7 linked regions of the Daphnia pulex genome follow. Each later gene encodes a partner of the first gene's protein in a complex. Links are inferred from orthologs where the notes say so. Each region holds a gene or a part of one and is shown in the gene's direction. Other genes may lie near its edges.

What was found.
Region 2: pre-mRNA-splicing factor ATP-dependent RNA helicase DHX16-like (region 1) and crooked neck-like protein 1 share a complex: the UniProt entries of both Homo sapiens proteins name them as parts of the minor spliceosome. The link is inferred for Daphnia pulex from reciprocal best matches to the Homo sapiens genes DHX16 and CRNKL1.
Region 3: pre-mRNA-splicing factor ATP-dependent RNA helicase DHX16-like (region 1) and pleiotropic regulator 1-like share a complex: the UniProt entries of both Homo sapiens proteins name them as parts of the minor spliceosome. The link is inferred for Daphnia pulex from reciprocal best matches to the Homo sapiens genes DHX16 and PLRG1.
Region 4: pre-mRNA-splicing factor ATP-dependent RNA helicase DHX16-like (region 1) and puff-specific protein Bx42-like share a complex: the UniProt entries of both Homo sapiens proteins name them as parts of the minor spliceosome. The link is inferred for Daphnia pulex from reciprocal best matches to the Homo sapiens genes DHX16 and SNW1.
Region 5: pre-mRNA-splicing factor ATP-dependent RNA helicase DHX16-like (region 1) and BUD13 homolog share a complex: the UniProt entries of both Homo sapiens proteins name them as parts of the minor spliceosome. The link is inferred for Daphnia pulex from reciprocal best matches to the Homo sapiens genes DHX16 and BUD13.
Region 6: pre-mRNA-splicing factor ATP-dependent RNA helicase DHX16-like (region 1) and cysteine-rich PDZ-binding protein-like share a complex: the UniProt entries of both Homo sapiens proteins name them as parts of the minor spliceosome. The link is inferred for Daphnia pulex from reciprocal best matches to the Homo sapiens genes DHX16 and CRIPT.
Region 7: pre-mRNA-splicing factor ATP-dependent RNA helicase DHX16-like (region 1) and serine/arginine repetitive matrix protein 1-like share a complex: the UniProt entries of both Homo sapiens proteins name them as parts of the minor spliceosome. The link is inferred for Daphnia pulex from reciprocal best matches to the Homo sapiens genes DHX16 and SRRM1.

What each region holds. Positions count from the first base shown.
Region 1 is NC_060022.1:5,692,132-5,696,197, reverse strand, and holds the start of pre-mRNA-splicing factor ATP-dependent RNA helicase DHX16-like, read left to right. Parts: upstream 1-1,266; 5' UTR 1,267-1,416; coding exon 1,417-1,924; intron 1,925-1,983; coding exon 1,984-2,514; intron 2,515-2,598; coding exon 2,599-2,867; intron 2,868-2,930; coding exon 2,931-3,140; intron 3,141-3,201; coding exon 3,202-3,558; intron 3,559-3,617; coding exon 3,618-4,066. UniProt on the Homo sapiens protein: Required for pre-mRNA splicing as a component of the spliceosome. Contributes to pre-mRNA splicing after spliceosome formation and prior to the first transesterification reaction.
Region 2 is NC_060026.1:11,199,262-11,203,342, reverse strand, and holds the start of crooked neck-like protein 1, read left to right. Parts: upstream 1-1,281; 5' UTR 1,282-1,372; coding exon 1,373-1,423; exon of another isoform or gene 1,424-1,426; intron 1,427-1,482; coding exon 1,483-1,572; intron 1,573-1,634; coding exon 1,635-1,853; intron 1,854-1,915; coding exon 1,916-2,136; intron 2,137-2,200; coding exon 2,201-2,649; intron 2,650-2,709; coding exon 2,710-3,017; intron 3,018-3,109; coding exon 3,110-3,334; intron 3,335-3,397; coding exon 3,398-3,594; intron 3,595-3,664; coding exon 3,665-3,851; intron 3,852-3,927; coding exon 3,928-4,081. Other genes in the region: probable maleylacetoacetate isomerase 2, read left to right, coding at 93-173, 273-477, 574-676, 741-867. UniProt on the Homo sapiens protein: Involved in pre-mRNA splicing process. As a component of the minor spliceosome, involved in the splicing of U12-type introns in pre-mRNAs.
Region 3 is NC_060021.1:1,388,871-1,392,846, reverse strand, and holds pleiotropic regulator 1-like, read left to right. Parts: upstream 1-1,328; 5' UTR 1,329-1,445; coding exon 1,446-1,454; intron 1,455-1,518; coding exon 1,519-1,625; intron 1,626-1,690; coding exon 1,691-1,833; intron 1,834-1,900; coding exon 1,901-2,020; intron 2,021-2,079; coding exon 2,080-2,264; intron 2,265-2,320; coding exon 2,321-2,470; intron 2,471-2,526; coding exon 2,527-2,721; intron 2,722-2,784; coding exon 2,785-2,903; intron 2,904-2,971; coding exon 2,972-3,173; intron 3,174-3,239; coding exon 3,240-3,431; 3' UTR 3,432-3,476; downstream 3,477-3,976. Other genes in the region: death-inducer obliterator 1-like, read right to left, coding at 1-382, 451-813, 871-994. UniProt on the Homo sapiens protein: Involved in pre-mRNA splicing as component of the spliceosome. Component of the PRP19-CDC5L complex that forms an integral part of the spliceosome and is required for activating pre-mRNA splicing.
Region 4 is NC_060018.1:216,233-220,178, forward strand, and holds puff-specific protein Bx42-like, read left to right. Parts: upstream 1-1,146; 5' UTR 1,147-1,620; coding exon 1,621-1,637; intron 1,638-1,709; coding exon 1,710-2,330; intron 2,331-2,392; coding exon 2,393-2,591; intron 2,592-2,657; coding exon 2,658-2,974; intron 2,975-3,042; coding exon 3,043-3,321; intron 3,322-3,393; coding exon 3,394-3,595; 3' UTR 3,596-3,730; downstream 3,731-3,946. Other genes in the region: uncharacterized protein LOC124188708, read right to left, coding at 3,883-3,946. UniProt on the Homo sapiens protein: Involved in pre-mRNA splicing as component of the spliceosome. As a component of the minor spliceosome, involved in the splicing of U12-type introns in pre-mRNAs.
Region 5 is NC_060019.1:12,606,436-12,609,942, forward strand, and holds BUD13 homolog, read left to right. Parts: upstream 1-1,323; 5' UTR 1,324-1,346; coding exon 1,347-1,459; intron 1,460-1,561; coding exon 1,562-2,954; 3' UTR 2,955-3,007; downstream 3,008-3,507. Other genes in the region: glutamate carboxypeptidase 2-like, read right to left, coding at 39-161, 225-516, 593-713, 779-839. UniProt on the Homo sapiens protein: Involved in pre-mRNA splicing as component of the activated spliceosome. As a component of the minor spliceosome, involved in the splicing of U12-type introns in pre-mRNAs.
Region 6 is NC_060021.1:4,590,300-4,592,723, forward strand, and holds cysteine-rich PDZ-binding protein-like, read left to right. Parts: upstream 1-1,327; 5' UTR 1,328-1,447; coding exon 1,448-1,661; intron 1,662-1,735; coding exon 1,736-1,824; 3' UTR 1,825-1,924; downstream 1,925-2,424. UniProt on the Homo sapiens protein: As a component of the minor spliceosome, involved in the splicing of U12-type introns in pre-mRNAs. Involved in the cytoskeletal anchoring of DLG4 in excitatory synapses.
Region 7 is NC_060027.1:2,460,189-2,464,283, forward strand, and holds the start of serine/arginine repetitive matrix protein 1-like, read left to right. Parts: upstream 1-1,295; 5' UTR 1,296-1,444; coding exon 1,445-1,468; intron 1,469-1,627; coding exon 1,628-1,717; intron 1,718-1,802; coding exon 1,803-1,931; intron 1,932-2,244; exon of another isoform or gene 2,245-3,062; intron 3,063-3,263; coding exon 3,264-3,434; intron 3,435-3,505; coding exon 3,506-4,095. Other genes in the region: SH3 domain-containing protein Dlish-like, read right to left, coding at 31-79. UniProt on the Homo sapiens protein: Part of pre- and post-splicing multiprotein mRNP complexes. As a component of the minor spliceosome, involved in the splicing of U12-type introns in pre-mRNAs. Involved in numerous pre-mRNA processing events.

The sequences.
Region 1 (4,066 bases):
CAAAGTATTCGAAGTGCTTGGTATGCCTTGCCATTCAATCCTTTCAGCCCAATCAATGAGCAATAATTCTGAGGCCGGTCCACCTGAATCAGAATCACAAATAGTTTAAACAATGCATCATTAGAGTAAGATAAAAAGAAATACGATTAGATTCCCTTTAGTTGTTTCAGCCTTTTGTTTCGTTGCAATAATCTGTAGTAGTGCTGCTGGTAAAGGATATCTATGAGTTCTGACTCGAACATTGTCTGAATTCAAAGAATCTCCAATGACTGGTCTTTCACGTTGGAGATTGAACAACAGACATTCCAACTTTAGCTCTGCAGCCTGAGGGAAGGGATCTGGTTACAGAAGTGTTGTCACTTATAAATTTGATCATTAAATTACCAACACAGATGAGAGTGATGACGAGACTAGATGAGGTTCTTCTGTTCAACGTCTTATTCAAGCAGGTTGTAAAGGTGAATTCCATATGGATTTGGTACAGAAGTCTCTAACACAATATTTCTGTTTCCATCAGCCTCTTAAATGAATCTTGTCAGGCTTCAGTTTACTGCAGGAAGGTTGAATTGTTTTGATATCAAAACAATCCCTTCCTTCTGGGTCACTGGGTGCTGCTGTGCTGACGAAATTAACTTTCTCAGTTTTTGCTAGACAAAGAAATAGTTGTAGGAATAGAAATTAAACAAGATTAAGATTAGAAATTTAAATTCTTTCCTCAACAATAGTTAATAACTTAGAAGCTCTGTGAGAATCAAATCGTTGGCTACAAATAAGCTGTCAAATTTTTAACAACAAACCTGTTTCACTCCTTTTGCATCTCTCAACAGATCACTTAATTCTTGTCCGACGACATTTTGTTTGTTTTGCTTTTCAATAACACAATTAAAATCGGTTAATATTCTAATAAGCAAATAGTTATTTGTTTACTAAAAACGTGATATGGAAACGGAAACGAAGCCGTTCAAATAATGGAAAGGTTTCGGCTTCTTATTATAAAAAACAAGTTGATAATAAACTGAAACGAATCTGTGAACGGAAACGGGTCCGCTCACTGATTTGAAAAACGCGTTGATTTGTCAAAAATCGGTTAACTGAAACGAATCCGATTATGAATCAGCTAGAGGCGCTAGAGGGTAGGCATAACGTTATTGCCTTCATGCGACTCTAGCGTAAGAGAACGGAAACCAATCCGTTCTACAACCCTCAAAAAATCCGTTTTTTAACGACACGGAATCGGATCAGTATCAGTTCACTGGTGAAGACTGTGTTGTTTGACCGCTAGGCTTGACTCCACAAGTTAGTCTGCTTCGTTTGCCGTGGAAGATCTTGTAGCTTTTTTGCTTGTCCGGCAAGTTCAGACGGACTCAACGTTATTAATGCCTTGTTTACAAATTCGTTTCTAATAAACATTTAAAAATGAGTTTAGAAACGTGGGTTAGCGATCAGTTAATCGAGATATTGGACTTCAGTGACCGCTATACTTCTCAGTTTTTGACATCCCTGGCTCATAAAAGTTCTTCAGTGAATGAACTTATCGAAAAAGTTCGTTTCACAGACACTATCGATGTGACAAATGCAAAAGTGATGAGTTTTCTATCAGAGTTATGGGGAAAGATTCCGAGAGCTGCCCCTAAAGTAAATGTTGAAAGAATTGCCGCCAAGCAACAAGAACAAGCCATGTTAGCAATGATCGAAAAAAACAAGAGATATAAGCTGATAGAAGACAGCGATGAAGAAGGAATGGCACCACCTCCACCACCAGTAAATAAAAAGATCAAGAAGGAAAAGAAGAAGTCTGATTCAAGCAGTGAAGATGAAGATGAAAAACAACGAGTCAAAGATTTGAAGGAAAGAGATGAGTTCTCTGAACGTCTTAAACTCAAAGATAAAGATAAACAGAGGAATGTGGTTACTGTGGGAAAAGGTATATTTACTATTTAATATTTGTAATAACTATTAAAATAAAATGTTTAAATTATCTAGGTTTTGCTGAAGCTGCAAAGAGGCTTCAAATGGAGGCTGAAGACAAAGCCAGCGTTATTCCCAAACTCAGAGTGGAATCACGTCGAAAATATTTGGAGAAGCGAAAAGGAGACAAGATTAATGAATTGGAAGCAGATATTTTCGACGATGAGTACTTGTTCGATGAGCAACAACTCACGGAGCGTGAACGAAAGGATCGCGAATACAAGAAAAAAATTCTCAGTCTTGCGAAAGAACATGACAAAGCACGAGAATTGGAATTGGTTCAACGATACCATATGCCCGATGATAAGCGGGACAAAGCAATGCCTGATAGGTACGTCGAGATAGATGACCGTGAAAAGCAACCTCATTCCGAACAAAAAGTTTGGGAAGATGCTCGCATGGCCACTGCTCAGTGGAATTTCGGTGCCAGAGATGCAAAACAGCGTCTTCAGGAGAAGGGAAAAGTTCATGATTATGACCTCTTATTGGATGACACCATTGACTTTATCCAAACAAACCAACTTGCAGGAACCAAGGGTATCGAAGGTAAAGTAACACACCTAAAACCTTCTGAATAAATGTTTAATAATCTTATCCCTCCACCTTTTTTTTTCGTTTTAACTATATTAGAACAACCTGAGGTAAGCGACATCCAGAAAAAGAAAATGTCTCTTCAGGATACGAGGAAATCGCTTCCAATATTTCCGTTTCGCGAAGACTTACTCCAAGCCGTCGAAGACCATCAGATCCTGATCGTGGAAGGAGAGACTGGATCAGGAAAAACGACGCAAATTCCCCAGTATCTGTACGAAGCGGGATACTGTAAAGATGGCAAGAAAGTCGGTTGTACCCAACCACGTCGAGTTGCAGCCATGAGTGTTGCTGCTCGTGTCGCCCAGGTAGAATTCAATCAAGAATTGTAATCTTGACAAGGATCTTATTTTGTGCGATTCCGTTTACAGGAAATGGGCAAGAAACTCGGTAACGAAGTAGGCTACAGCATTCGATTTGAAGATTGCACGTCAGAGAGGACTGTTATCAAGTACATGACTGACGGTATGTTGCTGCGTGAATTTCTCTCTGAGCCCGATTTGCAGAGCTATAGTGTCATGATTATTGACGAAGCCCACGAGCGAACACTCCATACCGATATTCTTTTTGGGCTGATCAAGGTGAGCCGTCCTTACACAACAACTCTTAAATTGTTGAATAATTTCCTATAAATTCTTTCAGGATATTGCACGGTTTCGACCTGACCTGAAGCTGCTAATTTCCAGTGCTACATTGGACGCTGAAAAGTTTTCCGATTTCTTCGACGAAGCTCCTATATTTAGGATTCCCGGTCGAAGATTCCCAGTCGAAATTTTTTACACCAAAGCTCCTGAGGCTGATTATATCGATGCTTGCGTTGTCACTATTCTACAGATTCACGTCACACAAGACTCGGGTGACATTCTTGTCTTTCTTACTGGTCAAGAAGAAATTGAAACGGCACTGGAGAGTCTGACGGAACGTACTCGAAGATTGGGCACCAGGATCAAAGAGTTGCTTATTCTTCCTATCTACGCAAATTTACCGTCAGACATGCAGGTTCGTTTTTGCTTATTCAAAGTTTATCCTTTTCATATCTTTTCATTTTCTCTTGCCAGGCAAAAATTTTCGAGCCAACGCCTCCCGGAGCACGGAAATGCATTCTGGCTACGAATATCGCAGAAACGTCTTTGACTATTGACAACATTATCTTCGTCATTGACCCAGGCTTTTGCAAGCAAAATTCCTATAATGCCCGAACTGGCATGGAATCCCTTGTTGTCGTTCCTATTTCGAAAGCGTCGGCGAATCAACGAGCTGGACGTGCTGGACGTGTAGCAGCTGGCAAATGTTTCCGCCTATACACAGCATGGGCCTACAAGCACGAGCTTGAAGAGAACACTGTGCCAGAAATTCAGCGAGTTAATTTAGGCAACGTCGTTCTGCTTCTCAAATCACTTGGAATCAACGATTTGATTCACTTCGACTTTTTGGATCCGCCTCCGCACGAGACTTTGGCTTTGGCACTGGAACAACTCTACGCTCTAGGAGCCCTGAACCACATGGG
Region 2 (4,081 bases), on another chromosome or scaffold:
TAAATTTTAAAATTATTAAATCATCACAATGTTCACAGTTAAACCCATATAAATAGCTAAAATACCGCTGGCATATTTTTCTATGTATTTAGAATGCTGATGACTATAAAATCATAAACCCCATGGCTCAAGTTCCATCACTAACAATTGGGGACAAAGTTTTCACTCAGTCGGTAAGAGGGACACTATATGAATATGACACTATAGATATATAAGACCTTCCAGTTCAAATTTCAATGCATAATTTTTACTTCCATCTCCTGTACATTTAGGTAGCTATTTTGGAATATTTAGAAGAATCTTATCCTTTAAAACCCTTATTGCCAAAAGATGGTGTGATTAGATTCAAAGTGAGAGAAATATGTGAAATTATTGGTTCTGGGATTCAACCCTTACAGAATTTGGCTGTACTTAAACAATTTGAAGAATCTAAACAGAAAGATTGGGCTGCTAAGTGGATTTTCAAAGGACTCACTGGTAGGTGAAGATCTTCATGAATATATCAATAAAAAAATTAATAAACTCTAAGAAATATGTGCAAAGTTTATATAAAAACCCAATTTTTTATTACAGCATTAGAAAAAATATTAGAAACTTCCAGTGGAAATTACTGTGTTGGAGATGATGTTACAATGGCTGATTGTTGCCTTATCCCACAACTGTACAATGCAAGGAGGTAAAGACTAAAGTTTCCATGATTCGTTTCATGTTCTCTTTTTCTCACGCTTCGTCTGAATAAGGTTTGATGTGGACGTGGCACAGTTTCCTAATATTGCTCGTGTGGAAAAGAATCTCGAAGTTCTTGAGCCTTTCGTAAAGGCTCACCCGAGCCGACAACCAGATTGCCCGCCTGAACTTTCAGCATGAAAATAAAACAAAAAAATTGATGTGAAATAGTCGGACTTCAGTCCATAGAATAACGATATTAAACGATGATTATAATTTGGTCGATGGGTTGCGAATACGGGAGAATGAATTGCAATGGAACTTGTTATGCTGTTTGATATTTACTGAAAAATAAACAAAATTTGCCATTATCACTTATCAGATATTTGCAATATTTATGTCTTGAAACTATAGAATAAATAGAGTGTATTCCAGTATTCCTGTAAAACTGAAACCTGAAAAGTGCTAAATCCGGTTAAAATCTTTCAAAAAACCTGTTGAAAGCTGGTAAACAATCAATCTGGCAACGTCCGATTCGTCGTCTGTTCGGTTCGTACGAGTCGCGCTCGCGCAACTGCAATCTGCAAGAAGCATCACTTGCTCGTGTCAGTTCAATACTACAGTACCAAGTGTCAGTCATAGACTCATATCTGTTAAAACCTTATTTTATTTTTTTTACAAGTGCTCATTTAAAAAGTAATCTAAAATGGATTCGGGTGGATTCGGTAAACCACAAAAACCTCCTAAAGTTGCCAAGGTTGTAATACTTAAATGTAAGAATGCTCTTGACATTACTTATAACACATTTCTCTTTAGGTTAAAAACAAAACACCGGCAGAAATTCAAATCACTGCTGAGCAGTTGCTTCGGGAAGCTAAGGAACGTGATCTTGAAATTGTTCCACCAGTAAGTGTTTCGGCAATAGATAACAACTTGAAGAACTGAAGTAAGAAATTTTCTATTTTTAGCCCCCTAAACAAAAAATTTCAGATCCCGATGAGTTAGCAGACTACCAGTACAAGAAACGCAAAACCTTTGAAGATGCTCTGCGGCGTAATCGTAATGTTATTACCAACTGGATCAAGTATGCTCAATGGGAAGAAAGCCAAAAAGAAATTCAAAGAGCCAGAAGTGTTTTTGAGCGTGCTCTTGATGTAGACCATCGTAACATTACCCTTTGGCTGAAGGTAATTAATTTTCATTTGTTAAATCTGTGAAATAATAAATATCTAATTTTAAAAAAATTTAGTATTCAGAAATGGAAATGAAAAATAAGCAAGTCAATCATGCCAGAAACTTGTGGGACCGTGCAGTTACAATTTTGCCTAGAGCAAATCAGTTTTGGTATAAATATACCTACATGGAGGAAATGCTGGCCAATATAGCTGGTTGTCGTCAAGTATTTGAAAGGTGGATGGAATGGCAGCCAGATGAACAAGCTTGGCAAACATACATCAATTTTGAATTAAGGTAAATAAATGTAGTAAATACTAACGTTACACTTATCAACGTCCAATTTTTGTCCAATAACTAGGTATAAAGAATTAGATCGTGCTCGCTCAATTTTTGAACGGTTTGTCTATGTGCACCCGGAAGTAAAAAATTGGATCAAGTATGCCAAGTTTGAAGAAAGGAACGGTTACATTATCGGTGCCCGCCAGGTGTATGAACGGTCGGTGGATTTTTATGGTGATGATCACATGGACGAAAGGCTTTTCATAGCCTTTTCCAAGTTTGAAGAGGGCCAAAAAGAACATGAACGAGCAACTGCTATTTACAAATTTGCTCTCGAACACATGTCAAAAGATAAAGCAGCAGAATTGTACAAAGCCTACACAATTCACCAGAAAAAATTTGGAGAGCGTGACGCTATAGAAGACGTTATTGTCAGTAAAAGAAAATTTCAGTATGAACAAGAAATTAAAGAAAATCCATCAAATTATGATGCATGGTTTGATTATTTACGCCTAATGGAAAGTGAAGGTATTTTGACTTACTATCAAATTTTTAAGGAATTGTGTCGAATGTGTATTGTATCTTTAGGTGACGCTGACGTTGAAGTAGTGCGAGATACATACGAAAGAGCTATTGCCAACATCCCGCTAGTAGCTGAGAAGTCCTTTTGGCGTCGTTACATCTATCTGTGGATTAACTATGCACTTTTCGAAGAACTGGAAGCCGAAGATTATGAAAAAACTCGACAGGTCTACGATTCATGTCTTAAGCTCATTCCGCATCGTAACTTCACATTCGCCAAAATGTGGCTCCTTTACGCCCATTTCGAAGTTCGACAGAAAAATCTGCAATTGGCGCGTAAAATTTTAGGTACTGCGATTGGTAAATGTCCAAAGGTAAATATGTTTCAGTATTTTTTCTTTCAAATATGAAATCTAATTAGAGGCCAGTCTATGAACCAGTTTTTAATAAATCTGGTTATTTATAGAACAAGTTGTTCCGTGGATATATTGATTTGGAGATCCAGCTGAGAGAATTTGACCGCTGCAGGACATTGTATGAAAAGTTCCTCCAAAACGGTCCAGAAAATTGCACCACTTGGATGAAATTCGCCGAACTAGAAACTTTACTGGGAGATGTGGATCGTGCTCGCGGCATTTACGAGCTTGCCATCAAGCAGCCTCTACTAGATATGCCAGAAATTCTTTGGAAGGTAAATTAAACTTTAAATATGTGCACAGATCTCATTCCTAATGGAGTTGTGTTTGTTCTTCAGGCTTACATCGATTTTGAAATCGAACAAGAGGAGAATGATAAAGCCCGATCGTTATATGAGAGACTTCTAGAACGCACGCAGCACGTAAAAGTCTGGATGAGTTTTGCTCAATTTGAGCTCACTCTAGCAGCATCTCAGCAGGAGGACCCAAGTTTGCCAGTCGCAGCAGCTAGAGCAGTCTTCCAGCGTGCAAACAAGTTCGCATTTCTTTGCTTTGAACTATTAGCCTCCGTAAATTACCTTCTTAATTCCCCATTATGTTACTAGGTCGCTACGTTCTATAGCTCAGTCAGTCGGTCTTGAAGTGGCTACCAACAAAGAGGAGCGATTGATGTTGTTGGAGGCTTGGCAAGAATTCGAATATGAATATGGAGATGAGGGATCTCGCAATGCGGTTGTTAACTTGATGCCTAGACGTGTGAAGAAGAGGAGGCGGATCCAAACACAAGATGGGGTATGTGATAATATTTTGCGTTTAGATGCAAAATTTTGTGCGTTGCAATGTTTTTTTCTTTTCTTTTTTTTTTTAGACCGATGCTGGTTGGGAAGAGTATTTCGACTACATTTTCCCCGAGGATGAAGCTACTAAACCCAATCTTAAGCTCTTGGCTATGGCCAAAGCTTGGAAAATGGCAAAAGAATCCGCTCCATCAAACCAGGAAGAGGAACTACCCAAAAGCAATG
Region 3 (3,976 bases), on another chromosome or scaffold:
GGAGCAACAGCAACAGGCTCTGGTATAGCTACGAAGAGAGTCTCCTCCGGTTCCGCCTCGGCTTCTTTCTTAGGCGTATTGACTTGTTGGATCTGATTCATCTCTTCCTTCTCCTTTTTGAGAAGTTCCTCATTTTCTGCTCGGATTTTCTTTAATTGCTCCATTTCTTGCCGGTCAATCTGGCGTTGGGAACGCCGCTTAGGTGAAGGTTGGCGCGTTGATCCACCACCACCACCTATACCCGTCGAAACGCTATCAGAACTATCAACTTCAGAACTCATCGCACTGTCGGCGTTTCTCGAGTTACTAATTGCCGGGCCATGCGCAGCTGAATAACAATGGTCAAGTGAGATGGACGCAACAGCCTCAGTGTCATCCGGAGCTGGATAGAAAAAACAATAATATAATCTAGATACACTTACTACTACTACACAAAGTTATTTGGCAAACCTCCTGTAAGTTCGGGATCAAGCAGGTCATCTAGACCAGCTTCTGGTGGGAGAATATTGTTGAAAAAAGCCCCAGCTTCTGCTTGTAATGCATGCTCAATTTTCTCGATCTCTTCCTGATCAAGAGCTAAGAGTGGATCTGTTGTTTCTAAAACTTGCTCACTAATTTTTGGCCCTGCTTTGACATTTCCATTAACTTGAGCAATTTCCTGGTCAGTTTCCATCAATTCTTCCTCGTTTTCCTTGAGTACAGGGCTAGAGACTGGGTTGAAATCTTCTTCTACAGTTATGTTGACATCAGTACTGCTGTCACCTGCAACATCATTGACTCTAACTACGCTTAGAGTTGTATTCTCTTGAGAGCCTGAAAATAAGGTAAATGAATAAAAACATGATTTCCCTCCAAAATGTGACGACTTACTAAGAAGTTGAAGTGTTTCCTGATCAACTGATATGTCACCAGTGTCATTATCAACAATAATGATTAGTGTGTTTCCAGCAGAGGAGCTATCGTCTGTGGTATCTGCCACAAAAGTACTCGACATGCTGTTGTCGAATTTGTAGCACACTTGTATCTAAATGTCAGTAAACGAGTAATCCAAAACGCGTCACTTATTGACCAGCTCGGAACGGCCCACTATCAAAGTTCAAACCAAAGCCACTAAAAACTTCACCCGATTCTATGGGCAACCACAAGCCCAAAACTTTTTTGTTGACAAACTTTGAAACTCCTGATTGCATCAAAATACACATAAACACCAAGCCGACTCATGGCTAGATGCCGCCATTTTGCGTTTTTTTTATATAAATCAATTTCAATGTGCCATGTTGCCGGCGACGCTTCCAATAGAAGCCATCTGGCGTGAATAATTACATCTTCTGTTAGTCACTAACAGATGGCGATTTGATCAGTACGTTAGACAACGCCGGCAACAATCGAGTACAAACCTCATGTAAATTTTGATTTGGTTTCGTTTTTACAATATAACAACAATCATGGGAGAGGTAAATTTTGCAATTAAAAAAATTATGAACAATTTCTAATTTACAAAATTTCATATCTCTACAGGATATTCAGAAGCATTCCGTGCATACGCTAGTGTTTCGATCACTGAAGAGAACCCACGACATGTTTCTGTCAGAAGAGGGTAGTCTACCTCCTCTTGATCAAAAAGCGTGTGTTGAAATAACTTTACATTGTTTCAACGTATTAAGTAACTCAATTCTATTTGATTATCTAGAGTGTCTGCCTGGCGATCATCAAAAGCTAAAGATACGTATGGTCCAATAGTTGAACTGGTCAGGAAACAACAAGAGATAGCGAAAAAAACAGGGCTTCCGGTAAATTACCCTGGAGGACAGCTTGCTCTAACTAACAAATCTGGTAATTTATTTTCCCCTATATTGATTGGAAATATGTATTTTTAAGTGGAATGTTTATTTTTTTACAGAACAAGATGGAGAGACCAGCCAAGCTTTGGCTCTTATGCCTTCAGGAACAATCGGGGGACATCAGATGCCACAATCTTCAGCAAATGTATCAACTGTTGGTATACCAGGCTATGCTGCAGGTGAGAAAAATATGCAGTCATTGTTTTCCCATCTATTTACTAAAAAAGAATCTTATTAGGTGGACCCACAAACAATACACAATCTTTAATAACCCGTAAAGCCCCAACAATGCCCAAGCCACAGTGGCATCCACCATGGAAACTTTGTCGTGTTATCAGTGGTCATATTGGTTGGGTACGCTGTGTAGCTGTTGATCCTACGAATGAATGGTTTTGCACAGGATCTGCTGACAGAGTTATTAAGGTAATTTATTCCTTACATTTATAAGAGTCAAGTTTTTCATTTTGAAATTCTTATAGATTTGGGATTTGGCCTCTGGACGGCTGAAACTTTCGCTTACAGGCCATGTCAGCACCGTCCGTGCTCTTCAAGTCAGCCCAAGACATCCGTACCTTTTCAGTGCTGGTGAAGATCGACAAGTGAAATGCTGGGATTTGGAGTACAACAAAGTAGCCATCACCATTTCAATTTACCGTGTAAGAAATATTAACAAAATCTTTTTCAGGTTATCCGGCACTACCACGGCCATTTGAGTGCCGTTTATAGTATGGCCCTTCATCCAACCATCGACGTTTTAGTAACTTGTGGTCGTGACTCTACTGCCCGTGTTTGGGACATGCGATCCAAAGCAAACATTCATACCCTAACTGGCCACACCAACACCGTAGCATCAGTTGTTTGTCAAGCAGCCGAACCTCAAGTATTCAAAGCAGTTTTCGACACTCATAATCCAGAATTTTAATTTTACCTTTCGAAACCATAGATTATTACTAGTAGTCATGACAGCACTATTCGATTATGGGATTTGGCGGCTGGCAGATCAATGGCTACTTTGACGAATCACAAGAAAAGTGTCCGGGCAGTGGCAATGCACCCTAACCTGTATGAAGCTAACCCATTATTTCACAACACATTGAATGTACAATTAATTTTAAAAAATTATGTTGCAGCTACATGTTTGCATCCGCCTCGCCGGATAATATCAAACAATGGAAGTGCCCCGAAGGCAAGTTTATTCAGAATCTTTCGGGCCACAATGCCATTCTTAATTGCCTTGCCATCAATGCTGACAACGTAATGGTATCGGGTGCTGATAACGGATCACTCCACTTCTGGGATTTCAAGACTGGATACAATTTCCAGCGCTCACAGGTATAAATGCATTTAGTTGAAACTGTGTTTTGAACGTTTCTTTAACTGTTCCTATTCAAATTTAAGGCCCCCGTGCAACCAGGCTCAATGGATAGTGAAGCTGGAGTATTTGCCATGGCCTTTGACCACAGTGGTTCACGTCTCATAACGGCCGAAGCAGATAAAACTATCAAAATCTACAAAGAGGACGACGAAGCTAATGAAGAGACACACCCCATCAACTGGAAGCCCGACTTATTAAAACGGCGTCGTTATTAACTCGCCATCTCCTGTACCGTACAATACAACTTGATTTTTAAACGATTTGTTGGCGCAAACTTGTATTATTACTTCAGTAATGTGCTGAGTTATTATGCGCTTATGGATTATTTATATTATGGATAGCTCGGGAATCCCAAGCTATCCCGAGTCGGGATAGCTTTAGCTTGTCAATTATATAATCACTGATTTCAGCGTGAATGTTTTAGGCAATCAAATAGTGATGAGGTTCTTAGCAATTTAGAATACCTACTTGAGAATAATTTAGGGTCACTCCTTGTTTGTGATAACGTATTAGCTTTCAACAAGCAGCCAAATGCCACACGTAAAGAACGAGTACATAAAAATCTTCTGGTTTTCAATTCATCCCAAAATGTAGTTAGAAAAAATATTGTTAAAAAATGTTAAGACTAGTCAAAGAAAACCTTTTGCTTCGTTGCATAACATTTAATTATTTAATTTACAAAGCTCACGTTTTCACGCGGTCTTAAATTTTGAAACACTGTATTTTGGCGGGAAAAATGGAAGGGAAACCGAGAACCCTG
Region 4 (3,946 bases), on another chromosome or scaffold:
ACCATCAGCTGCTGCGCCACAAGCACCCCGGTGCCAAATCAAGTTCCCCTTGTGCCAAGGCCTACATAGTATAGTCTGAGCGAGACAAGGCGGCCTATATCGATCGATCCGTCCAAAGAGCCTCAACCAACCCCCACCACCCAGCCAACTGTATTATCGCACAAGGGAAAAGGCGAAACTGCTATACACACACATATATAGTCTTGGATCAAATAGATGATATATATACAGAGGAAGAAGAAGACTTTGATAATGAGACGTGCTGCTGCTGCCGTTCCTTTATTTATTGGAGACCGGCATCAGCACATCTCGTATTGATTTCCTGTTGCAAAGAGAGCAGCCGTCGTCGTCGAAAAGTTCCCAAATCTTGTCCTACAACTGTCTCTCTATTATCGGATGTACTGTATGCATTGTGGATGCATTATAAAGCCCTACGCCGCAAAAGAGATTTATTGGCCCACACATTGAAAGTCGAAACGGAAGGCGGAAGAGAGACGGAGATGAGGCGAGCTCACGGTCACCGCACATCCACATTTATCATTTGTTATGGGACGAGACTCTGAACTGCCTCGCTGATTCGCATCGCTTCAAAATGAGAATCTATTCACTATAGTATATCAAACTCTTACGTTGGCATTTATGGCCACCGGATTTCAGACTGTTAAGCCAGCTATCCGTTGATAAATCAGATGGTGCAACCCTCCCAACGAGAACAGCATTTATTTTTACGACTGTGTCGTCGTCGTGGGATATATTGGCCAAAGTGAAAGTTTTTAAGGTGTTTACTTTTTTCATATGGCGATGCGCTCAGTTCCGCTCGGCGTCCAACTTGTAACACAGAGAGGGTCGATTTCATCAGCGCTCACTTTTACACGTCGGCGTTAATTGCGTTGCATCAAACGAAAAACACAGTGGGCGGCAACTCGTTATATTTTGCCTTGCCATTAGATGTTATTACAAGCAGATTGCAAGAGACGCGAAGTTCCATTAGAGTTGACAAGCGTTCGTATTTCAACTCGGGGCGGGTATGGATTACTTGACTTTCTTATTCTTTTCCACCCACTCTCGACTTTCATCTCATTACCGTAAAAAATGCCAAGAACGGCTGCGAGGAGAAGGAAAAAGGTTGTTGACTGCGCTCTTATTTTTTTATGGAACGGAGAAGAAAAACGTCGGAAGGAATATGAGAGAGAGACTGTAATAAGAAAAGGCGCGCTAACACTCTCATCTCAAGTGCGTCTATTTATTCCGCCCATCATTAAACCTTATTGGATACATCCAACGCAGAGCATACACACACACACGGCGCCACAATCTTGTAAAAAGTTTTCAGGATCGATACGACGTTTTTCCTTTTTTTATATAATTCCCATCACGTCTTGAGCGCCCCATCCCATTGATGGAGACACAATTTTATGTAAACTCTGGATAATTTAATAATATTCTTTTTTTTTTAATTTGTATCGAATAAAATGTCGATGTTGCGAAAAGCCGAAAATATCCCGCATTTTATCTCGCTCTGTTGCGAAGAAACAATCTGACAACGTTGCATCATAAATTATTCTCGAGTTACAATTTTTGTATTTGGCAACATCTTGGTTGAAAGACTCGACTGAAAACATGGCGTCGTTATCAAGGTATAATAATTATTTTTTTGATTTCCTTGTATTTAAACTATGTATTAATTATGGTCATGTTATTTTATACAGTTATCTCCCAGCGCCAACGCAGTTGACGTGGGATCGAGATGTCGAGGAGCAAAAGGAACGTGCTAATCGCCAAACGGCCATCGTGGCCGCCACAAAGGCAATCCCACCATACGGAAATCGCGATTCATGGATGCCTCGAAATGTTTCCGATTTCGGAGATGGAGGTGCTTTTCCCGAAATTCACATGGCCCAATATCCAATGGACATGGGTCGCAAAGACCAGGCTGGACAAAAGTCAAATGCCTTGGCCATCCAACTTGATGCAGAGGGAAAGATCAAATATGATGCTATTGCCAGGCAAGGCCATGGGAAGGACAAACACGTCTACTCCAAATTCACTGATCTCCTGCCTGCTGAAATTACCAATGAGGATGATCCCTCTTTGCACAAGCCCACAGACGATGAAATTGCAGATATAACAGAGAAAACGAGACAAGCCCTGGAAAGAATCACCAATGCCAAAGTAGAAGCAGCTCTTCCAGTCCGTGCCGCAGAGAGAACTGGCCCTGCTCAATTCATTCGCTACACACCAGCACAGCAGGGTGATGAATTCAATTCTGGCGCCAAACAACGCATTATCCGCATGGTTGAAGTACAAAAAGATCCCATGGAACCCCCAAGGTAAATTTTAGAAAAAGTGCCATTTCATTTCATTCCCATATTGACTGATTATTTTTCACTAGGTTCAAAATCAACCAAAAAATCCCCCGTGGTCCACCTTCTCCTCCTGCCCCCGTGTTGCATTCTCCTACACGTAAAGTAACTGTCAAGGAACAACAGGAATGGAAAATTCCGCCTTGCATTTCAAATTGGAAGAACGCTAAAGGTTACACCATTCCTCTTGACAAACGTTTGGCAGCCGATGGTCGAGGACTTCAACAGGTGCCGTCCCTAACGACCTAAAAACGTGTCTTTCCCCAATCAACTAAATGTTGTTGTTTCTCGCAGGTTCACATTAACGAGAAATTCGCGAAATTGGCCGAATCATTGTACATAGCCGATCGAAAGGCCAGAGAGTCGGTTGAACTTCGCGCCCAACTTCAAAAGAAACAAGCGCAAAAAGAAAAGGAAAAGAAGGAAGATACTCTGCGACAGCTGGCGCAGCAAGTCCGCGAAGAGAGAGCAGGTCTGCGACCCGGTGCAGGCGCTGCTGCTGCTCGTGAAGACGACGATGATGCAGCGGAGCGTGACAACTTGAGACAAGAACGGCATCGTGAGCGTCAACGTGAGCGCAACATTGCACGCGCGGCTCCCGGCGATAAAAAGTATTAAACATTTGATTTCCTTTCAACTTTTTCCAGTCAATTAATTAACAATTTCCATTGACGCGTAGATCCAAACTCGATCGCCAACGCGAGCGTGACATTAGTGAGCAGATTGCATTGGGGATGCCTGCTCGAGCTTCTGCAAGTGGCGAGACCATGTACGATCAGCGTTTACTGAACCAAACTCGTGGAATGGACAGTGGATTCGCCGATGATGAGGCCTACAATGTCTACGACAAACCTTGGCGTGAACAAGGAACTCTGTCCAGTAATCTCTATCGTCCGACCAAGAACCTCGATCAAGATTTGTACGGCGACGATTTGGATAAACTTGTCAAGACCAGCAAGTAAGTTGACCTACTTTCAAGGTGCATTGGTTTATGAAGTTGAAACTCATTTTGTTTTTCATTTGTTTACAGGTTTGTACCTGATAAGGAATTTAGCGGAACTGATCGTTCTGGTCCTTCCGGCTCCCGCAGTGGTCCAGTTCAGTTTGAGAAGGAAGAGGATCCTTTCGGCCTCGACAAGTTTTTGACGGACGTCCGCAAGGCCAGTAGCAAACGACCCACTGACGCGGAACGCTCAGACAAGGACAAGGATAAGAGACGGCGTCGAGACTAAATATTGTTTTTCTTTCCGTTGACGATTTCGCAATTTGTTTCATTTTACCTCACACAAAAAAAAATCTTTTTAAAAAAACCACAAAAACAATGATTCCTTTTCTCCAAGACCAGAATACATTTCAAATGAAATGTCTGTGACTAGTTTTATTTATTCATTGATTACGAGACAAAACACTTGATTCAATACTGTAAAGTGACGAAACATTTTGCAAGAATGTACATAATGGTAAATCGAAAATGCAGCAGAAGACTTGAATATCACCAGACAAGTGTAAGTAATAATCATCATGAAAAGAGTCCAGTGGAAAGTCCACGATAAAAACACCTAGCCTCCAGAAGCCTGTGTAGC
Region 5 (3,507 bases), on another chromosome or scaffold:
AGTAATAATTCAATACATTTTTAAAAATAATTGATTACGATATTGCCACGAAAAATCGCCCCATATCGAGCAATCACAATTCGACCACGAATGTCTATGCCGAGAGATTTCAAGTACTCAAAATCTTGTTTCCGACCATAATTTGCGTAAATGAGTTCCCCCTATGAAATGGTGTAATTAAGTTAAGTGTCATCAATAAAACAACGATAGAAATTTAATTTCACCTCGACAGTTCCGTTAGCTGAATAAGCGTTAAAATTGGGTTGAACTAACGGAGAGAATTCTTCGCTGGAAAAGAGTGGCGTCTGACGTCCTGAGGTGGTGAAGTTCACCTTGCCGTTGGAGTCGAGTAGCGAGACCTGATTGGGGTTGCTCATGTCTGGGTAGGAAAGCAGCACCTTGTAAGGAACCAATTGGACTTCGTCTAATCCTCCCTCGACGAAACGATCGCGCACCCAACTAGCCACTTCCAAATCCTGTGGAGTTCCAGCTAAATTCGGTATACTGCTCAAATATCTGTGACAATCATTTTGGGAGTTAATTAGACAATGAATCAAATTTGTCTTTTGATTAGCGATGATGTTGGACTTACTTGAGATATTCGCCAATATTTGATGCACTGAGCTCCTCCATCAAAGTGGCAGACATTTTCGCCTTCTGAGGCGACACGTCGTCCCTATCATTTCCGATAGCGTAACGACCGATGAGAATTCCTTTGTCAGGTGGAAAGATGAAGTCAAACCAACACATACAGTAACATTTCAAATGATTACGATACCTATGATAAGACAAATTACAGAAGCCGTGCAAATTAAAATCCAGTTGGGTTTTTGCGCCATCGTTTCGCTGCGATCACTTCTCCACACCCTTCCGTTCTCGTTTACTGTACCTCAAATAATAACGACGGTTTGAAAAGAAACAGGTTATTAAATAGCTGAAAATATGACAATGAAAGCACGGGAAGTGCGGGTAGAAAGTCGGGTTCGAGATTGCGTGTTCCATATGCAGCGGCACGCAAATACCTGGACAGTAACTAAGGTGATTTGACAAGCCAACCAGACCATCGGTTGCTTGTGGTTTAACACAAGACAGGTCGCATGCTTAACTGACGGGTGACTCTTGTAAAAAATGTAAACGCCATAGGCAATGAATACATTTCTTTAAAATCGCTATTACATAAATCTATTTTTTTTAAACAATTTTTTTTATTTTGAAAACTTCCCGATAGATGGTGTATAGTTTCACGCGTTAACCATAGGTGGAGCTTGTATTCATATTTCGTGTGAAAGCGTTGACAAACGCGAGGGATTACGGTTTGTAAATATTCCCCTGAAATTATTGTAAAAATGAGTGCTCCTATGAGCAAATTAGAATATCTGAAAAAGTACATGTCCTCTTCGAAAAAAGAAGAAAATAAAGTCAAGAAAAAGAAACTCAGGCCCTTACTGAAAGCCAAAGGGTAAGTCAGGCTTTTTGTGAACTTTAGACAATACACATCATTTTTTAATTTTAACTTAAGCTTTTTCTTAATCTAGTCAATTTGTTTTCATTTACTTATTAGGGGCATCAAGATCGTTGATGAAGAAATAGATTTGAGGAAGATAGCTGCAGGATACGAGAAAGATGAAGACCAAATTGACAACCAAGAAGATGCTCCTCTGGTGGCTGGGGTTGTCGATAATCGTTCCATAGAAATGATAACCAAACAAGACTTTGTGGAAAGTTCAAAGTGGAAGAGACTTGGTGTGGATGAAAATGACAAACCAAAATCCATGTCTAAATCAAGTGATCGAGATATTGATTCAAGTGACAGTCACTTACCAAGGAAAGATTCCACTGCCTTGAAACGACCAATCACAGTGAAGAAAGAAAGACATGATTCAGATTCAGATCCCAGTCCTCCACGTAGAAGACACGATTCTGATTCAGATGCCAGCCCACCTAGAAGAAAGCGCCATGATTCAGACTCTGATCCATCTCCACTTAGAAGAACGAGAAAAGACTCTGATCAAAGCCCACCACGAAAACGTCACGATTCAGACTCAGATGCTAGTCCTCCTCGAAGAACAAGGAAAGACTCGGATCAAAGCCCACAACGAAAGCGACACGATTCAGACTCGGACCAAAGTCCATTAAGAAGGCGTAAAGGCTCCGATTCCGACCAGAGTCCACCAAGAAAGCATCAAAATGCTGACGGTGATCTCAGTCCTCCGCGGCGGAAGAAAAACGTTGATTCCGGTGCCCAAATGCGCATCAAACCAGATCCAGACGGAGACCTCAGCCCTGAGCGTCCTAATAAATCAACATCACGCAGCGGAGGAGCTTCGGAGAAACTGACCAAAACCCTAGATGGAAAGATGGCCGGCCTTCAGACTGGCAGAGCTTTGCGTGAGGAGACTGATGCATTACGCAAGAGAGAAGAGGAAGCCTTCCGCAAAATGGACAAATCACTCACTGGGCAGAACGCCACGACTGCCATCCGAGCTGGCAAGCTGCGCCAAATTGAAGCCAAGCAACAGGTTGATAAAGAAAAAGCCGAGAAGATTGCCAAGCTGCAAGAAGCTTACCAAAAATGGAACAAGGGTCTTAAACAAGGAGAAACGCATTCGACGCAAGTTGCCGAAGCCATTCACGAAATGTCCAAACCGCTGGCTCGTTTCGCCGATGACGAAGATTTGGAAAGGTTGTTACGCGAACAAGATCGTGAAGGTGATCCCATGGCTGCTTACATGGCCAAGAAAAAGGTCAAGAGCGGTGGTGACGGCAAGGGGAAAGCCGCTAGACCTGTCTACAGGGGCCCTGCTGCTGCTCCCAATCGTTTCGGTATACTACCCGGCTACAGATGGGACGGGGTTGACCGCTCGACTGGCTACGAGAAGATGTACTTTGAAAAACAAAACAACGCCGTGGCCCTTCAGGAGGAAGCCTACAAATGGAGTGTATCCGACATGTGATTCCGATGATGAATTTACCTTGACTGAATAAAGCCATGCAATTACTTTTAGTAGCCAATGACGCCTGTCCTTGTTCTTAACATTTCCCTTTTTATTACCTCGACGGAATGGGGCCCATCCATCAACATTCAAAATTGCAGGGTTTTTTTCAGATTCAACGAGAGGCGCGCGGAGGAAATTCCATGCGGATGGCGTCAACACTTTGCACATTTTCCGAGTCGCGACTCTACCAGCAGTTCGTGAAAGTTGCCCAACCCATGTTGTAGAGGAGGTGCGGCTATTCATGAATCGTCCGTCGTGGTTGAATCGGAAAATTCTATCCGGAAGATGACACCCTTTCCGGCCTTGGCTGCCTTCAAATCATTTTTCTTCTGTTGTTCAGCAGCAGAAAAAGAAAAGAAAGAAAAGGCGTTGGGGTCGTTTCTGTTGAGTGTGTCGAGTGCGCTATGGCCAGATGGCGCTTTGGCTGAGTGTGTCGAAAGAGAAGGGAGGAAGGTCACGGCACGAAGTGGGCCGGCCGTTTTCAGGTGTGCCCTGTTGTCCGTGTTGTCTA
Region 6 (2,424 bases), on another chromosome or scaffold:
GCGCGCTCGCCATATGTTTCCAAGCTAAAGTGTATGCTAGTTAAAAAATCATAAAAAATTGAAATTAATAAATTTTTACTTGAAACTTTTACCAACGGTAGACGACATAGTCGTCTACATTTGGACAAAGTTTCAAATTTTTCTAATGAAACTCTGATTTTTCTCGATTTTTTAAAATAGAAAAATAGAGGGAAGAGAATAGGGGAGAACAAAGGGGTCCGGCGGTTTTCCCTCTTCTATTCTTCCCCCGGGCTAGGATTTCGTCCCTGCGCCACCAAAATAAATCGGAATTGTTTTTTAAAAAATCGGGACAAATCAGAGTTTCATTAGAAAAATTTGAAACTTTGTCCAAATGTAGACGACTATGTCGTCTACCGTTGGTAAAAGTTTCAAGTAAAAATTTATTAATTTCAATTTTTTATGATTTTTTAACTAGCATACACTTTAGCTTGGAAACATATGGCGAGCGCGCCGATGTTTCCAAACTTTATGTCTAGCACTTTGGGGATAAAGTTCAATTTACTAAAATCTGAAAAAAATCATGGTGAAAGAAAATTCTTTCCTCACCAAGAAGATTTTTTAAAATTTGCTTTGCGATAACTCAAACGTGAGTTATCGCGAAAAAAGGGAGACACATTGGCCCGTAAGCCGCCGTGTTAGAAGCGCGGAAACACTCGCCGTGTTTCCAAACTTTGTGAGGGTACTGTATATAATATATTTCGTATCCACGGATATAGCTCCTCTGATTTGATCTATTACACCCCGAAGAGCCATCTCATGAAAATCATGGAAAATCAATTTTATAGCCCACGCACAAATAAAATTCCGTGACGGGCTACCGATGTGGTAGCCTTCAAGTCAACTCTCTTTATTTTTCTTTGATACCTATAATAATGTGCCATCATGTTTGTTTGCCCAGATTCAGGTTTCGGTTTTTTGCCCAGTTTTTTTTTTATGGGGGAATTGGAGACTGCGTTATTTTGACAAGATTAAAAGCGTTAATTTGTTTCAAAATTCGCGCAACCTAAACGGATACATCTCCTACATCTAGCGGTAAAGAATTAAACTCCACCGCAGGTTTTATTATAGCCGTTCTAATGTCGCAATAGTTTTTCCGTTCTAGTTTCGTTTCTAAAATATGGACGTTCTAGTGTCGGGTGGGCGTTCTAGTGACGACGACAGTGATAGTGCCACGACAGATGTCGTGGCAATAGACAGTTTCGACCGTATTGCCACGACATGATGTCGTGGCAATAGATTTAACCATCCCAGTCTTAGAAAAGGTTAAAGCCATCTCTGCTTGTCTATGTGAACTAACTGAAGTTTGCCTTATGATCGCTAGGTGGTAGTTTGCAAAAACAAAGCTTCGACTAGTCGACTCGAATCTAGCTTTGAAGTTTTTTTGTTGATTGACTAAACTAAAAACGCAGTTAAAGCCTGTAGAAAGATGGTGTGCGATAAATGTGAGAAAAAACTGGGTAAAGTTATAACTCCAGACCCATGGAAATCAGGAGCTCGAAATACCACAGAAGGTGGTGGTCGCAAGCTCAATGAAAACAAAGCTCTTACTTCTACAAAAAATCGTTTCAACCCATATACACCGAAATTTGAAGGCTGCAGAATATGTAAACAGAAAGTTCATCAAAATGGATCGTATTATTGTAAGTACCAAAGAATTTATAAGAAAAGAAGCTGAATTGAGTCTAACAAAATTACTGTAATTTGGAATTTACAGGTCAACCTTGTGCTTATAAAAAAGGAATCTGTTCGATGTGTGGAAAGAAAATTATTGACACAAAAAGCTACAAACAATCTTCCACTTGATAATCTGTTGTGTTATGTTGTGTTACAATCTTGTCTATGTCTCCTAATCTTTAAGTGAATGTGACATTGAATGGAATATATGAAATTAAGATGCTTGAAACTCTTTTCGTACTCTAGTGCTTTACTCATGTGAAGTTTGAGACCTTACAATCACTGTAATTATCTTGAGTGGTACTATATTAATTTTTGGTATTAAAATTTGTAAATTTTTCATACCTCAAGTATATGCAGAATATTACCAGTAAATTTTCTTTGTAAATTATCTTATGGCATGGCTAATGGATGGATATGTAAATTATACTCTGAACTCCATCCCTTATTTTGTCAGAGGTAATGCTTAAAAGGTTAAGGACCAAAGGTTAATCTCCTTTGAACAATTAAACTTAGACTGAGAATTGTTTTTTTTATGAGCTCAATAATCAATAAACACAGCGAATGATGTCGTTCTATGCAATTTAGCATTAGAATTAAACATGCTGTTTACATATATATACTAATTCCAGAAAATTTGCAGTACTTTTTACTTGTTGGCTAAGTCCATGCTAAGCAATAACAAACAAAAAATATTACTTGTAAGGCGTTATACGATATATTTCGAGA
Region 7 (4,095 bases), on another chromosome or scaffold:
ACGTCTGGAAAAATTGGACAAGTTTGTTACCTTTTTTCTTCTTGCCTCGGCGTATCCTCACTGGACACAAGAAAGCCATGACTCAGGTGTGCACCAGACACTCAACACACACTAACACACGCACTATTAACTCGAAATCGATTGGTAAAATGCACTTGATTAGTTTAATTTGTTTGACACAATTAGCAGGGCAATGTCGATTGTTGTATGTTCAGTCGTCAGGTGAGAATGAGAATTGACACAGCAGCAGAAAGAGTCAGCCTGGAAGAAGGCCTGGTTTCTGCTTCTGTTCCATGGCCTCCGCCAATACCCACTGGCACTGCACACCTTGAAAAACAGTCTCTGCTGGTAGATGGGAAGAAGAAGAAGAAGAAGAAGAAGCAACAACTTTACCTCCCAATCCCCCCTCTAACCAATTCCATCCAACCAGGTTTTCTCAAATACAGTTTGTTGCCTTTATGCTCCAGGGGCTCTTTTTCTTACCTTCTTCTTCTTCTTCTTCCTTCATTCACATTCTTTCCCTCTATATGCACCTTTATTATTATATACCTTTGGGCTCTTCTTCTTCTTCTTTCGCTGCTGCTGCTGCTGCTGCTAATTTATTTCTTCCCTTTTCTTGAGGATTGGAGTTTTTTTTGTTTGGGAAGGAAGAGACGCTTTTTACCTGTGCACACCGCCGCGTCTTATAGCCTAGCGGTCACGTAAAAGGTGCGCGCATGCCAGCTCAAGCTAAAAGGGATGTAGTCAGTCAACCAACAAGAAAGCCTTTTATTTTCTTAATTCATTTTTTTTTCTTCTTTTCAACCATTTCTGTCTGTGGTTGATTTATACTTTTTGATGGTTATCTTATTACACTTAAAAAAAAAAAGCCTTTGGGGACAAAGTTGCACCGGTCGTACAGTTATTTTATAAAGGCAAAGAGAGTTCAAGGAGCTCAAGTCTACTTAATAAGCAGTGACCGTTTGCTACCTACTCGCAGGATCAAATGACAAAACAGGTTCCTTGCAATTTTGGCTTCAACTGAAAAAACGACATTTTTCTTATAGTCAAATTAACCGGTTGGACGCGCCATGATTTCGGGATACATTATTTCGCGTCGATAAATTGAGAGGAAACCTTAGATTGGCATTTTCCCGTTATTCGTCCAATTGATTTTGTCATCGAAGAAAATTAGTTATGCGTAGCGTAACCCATATTTGATATGTTTTGTCCTTTTTTTCTTTCAGAAGCGCTGGCAGGAGCTGGCGCTATGCATATGCAGCAGTCGATTTATTTTTCTAAACTGGCAATGCTGTTTCCATTTTCCTGACTGAAGGGACAAGAGGGAAGGCGATCAATTGAGTTAGGGGTCCTCCATTTAAGACTTGAGTTTAGCCCGGCTTTATTCTCCCATTTATTTTTACTTTTATAGAATTACCTCGATTTGAGGTATTTTTCTTTCACAATGACTGATGCCGGTTTCTTCAGAGTAAGTGTTAATAATTACCCAAGTTAGAACTATTATTCCCTTGAATTGTTTGCAGCATCTCGACACGCCAACTCGGTCGTAAAATTCTTGCTTCATCAGTTGTGAAATCTGTTTTGTTAACTGATGGGATGCATTGTAATATTTGAATTCTTTCAACAGGGCACCTCAACTGAGCAAGACAATAGATTTAGTGACAAAGAGAAGAAGCTTTTGAAGACTATCAAATTTGCTGAAAATGTGACTAGAAAGGTAAATTATTGATCACCTGTGCAACTTTAACAACATCAATATGAGTTACATGTTAATATTCATTAATGCATGTTAAAAAATTCAGGTGGATATGAGCAAAGTTAAGTTGGAAACCATCAAACCATGGATCACAACCAAAATTACAGAACTTATGGGAGGAATTGAAGATGACGTCCTGGTGGAATATGTTTTTAATCAGCTCGAAGCTGACAAGGTAATATCCTTTTAATCTCAGCCGTGTAGATTTATCTTATGGGAAACATTTGCCACCAAAGCTTTTCACCAATCATTCTGCTGTTTATCTTATGCAATTTTTTTAATATCAGGCTGAAATAGCCATCACATACTAAGAATGATTGAACGTCAGCTCCTTTGCATCTGGTTCTTGTTTGTAATTTGGTTTAATGTGAAAGATAAGTTATGATTTAAGTTTTCACCACCCAGATGGCTTTGATTATATTTTGTCTGTGCTCATGCTCATCTCAATATCTTGTACACTTTTGGGTCCTGTGTTATGAAGACTTAATGTGGAATTGCATCAAAGCCTTGTTGTCACCATGTCACACACACCACCTTGACATGATGGATGCAAGGATTCTTTCTCGACCGAGACCTGGTCGCATTATTTCGAGGTCTTCTCTTCGAATTGATTCACCTTTCGGCCTGTTCCGTGGACGATTCCTCTTATCGTCGGCCACGATGTCTATGGATTTGGATTTCCAACGTTTCGCAGTCGACCGATGAAGGATTCACTCCTGCGAAATGATGGAATACGGCACGTTCTAAACCATCGAGTCATGAGAGGCAATTCTGGGATCGCCTTTCGCCCAGCCAATGCAACGCCTTCTCCCCCAGTTGATAGTTAACCGCACAGTCGACAACAGGGAAAACTCCTGTGTGGTTAAGTCGGGCTCTGATCGCAGTAGGCCTACTCAGGAATCCGTGTTGAGAAGCTGAGAAGAAGAGATCCTTTCGTCTCGGCCCAAAAAGCAGGACGGTACAGTCGACAGAGATAAGACTCCTGTGCCGTTCGCTAACGTGGTCGAAGCTGCTAGATTTGCCTGATAGATGACGACAGACCATCCCATCTTTAAAAATCACCTGATCGATCGCATCGTGGTGCCGGGGTAGCCATCAGGAGTAGGACTAGTCAGATGACGACCCAATAGCTGGGCGGTACAGTCGACAGGACAACTCCTGTGCCGCTCGCTTCGTGGTCGTCTCTTTGATACCGAGTCGCCGGTGTTTTTATGACGGATGGGAAACTCGGTTCTCCCTCAACGCCCAGATTGGAAAAAAAGAAATAAGAGATTTTTTTCTGTTGTCACTCTGGTCGAGCTCTCAGGCAAGAATAACAAACCAAAACAAACTACGTAAAACAGCTTATCCTTTTAAAGAGCAAACCCCTGAAAGGTATTGCTCGCTTAATCCGCCGAGATCATACCGAAACCTAATCTATTTGTGTCCGTTTACTTAAGTATCTCTTTTCCATTTCGGTTGTTTGATTTTTCTGTTATTTGTCTTTTTTTTTTCTTAAAACCTATAGAACCCTGACCCTCGTCGCATGCAAATCAATTTAACTGGATTCCTCAACGGCAAGAATGCCAGGATTCTGATGACTGAATTGTGGGATCTTCTACTATCTGCCCAAGAATCGTCTGCTGGAATTCCGGAGGTCTTTATGGCACAGAAGAAGGAAGAAATCAAATTAAGAAAGGTATGCAACCATCGGAAATAATTCGCGGTATTAGTTTTGTTTCTATCATTTTCGTCTTTATTGGTTTGCAGGAAGAACAAGATCGAATCCAGGAAGCAATCAAAAAGGCCGACCGGGATCGGCGCGCTGACCGAGAAAAGGAACGCAACGACCGTACTGACAAACGAGCTTCCAAAGATAGAAGCCGTAGCCCCAACAAGGACAGGGTGATCAAGAAGGAAGGAGACAATCCCCGCTCTTCACCTCGTCGTGACGGCCGACGTCCTTCATTGGAGCGTCGTTCTCCTAATCGAGGCAAGGCGTCGCCACCGCCTCGTCGTCGCTCACCTGCCAGATCGCCAGCAAGGCGCTCGCCTCGTCGATCTCCACGTCGATCACCTGTTCGTCGCTCCCCAGCTCGCCGTTCTCCTGCACGCAGATCTCCCGCTCGTCGCTCGCCAGCTAGACGATCACCCGTTCGCCGCTCTCCCGCTAGGAGATCTCCAGTTCGAAGGTCCCCAGCCCGCAGATCTCCTGTTCGTCGGTCACCGGTCCGCAGGTCGCCCGTTCGAAGATCTCCCAGGCGTTCACCTGTTCGTAATCATTCTCCTCGGCGTCCTTCACCACGCCGTTCGCCCGTGAGGAAGTCACCCGTTCGACACCGGTCGGCGGAACGTCGTCG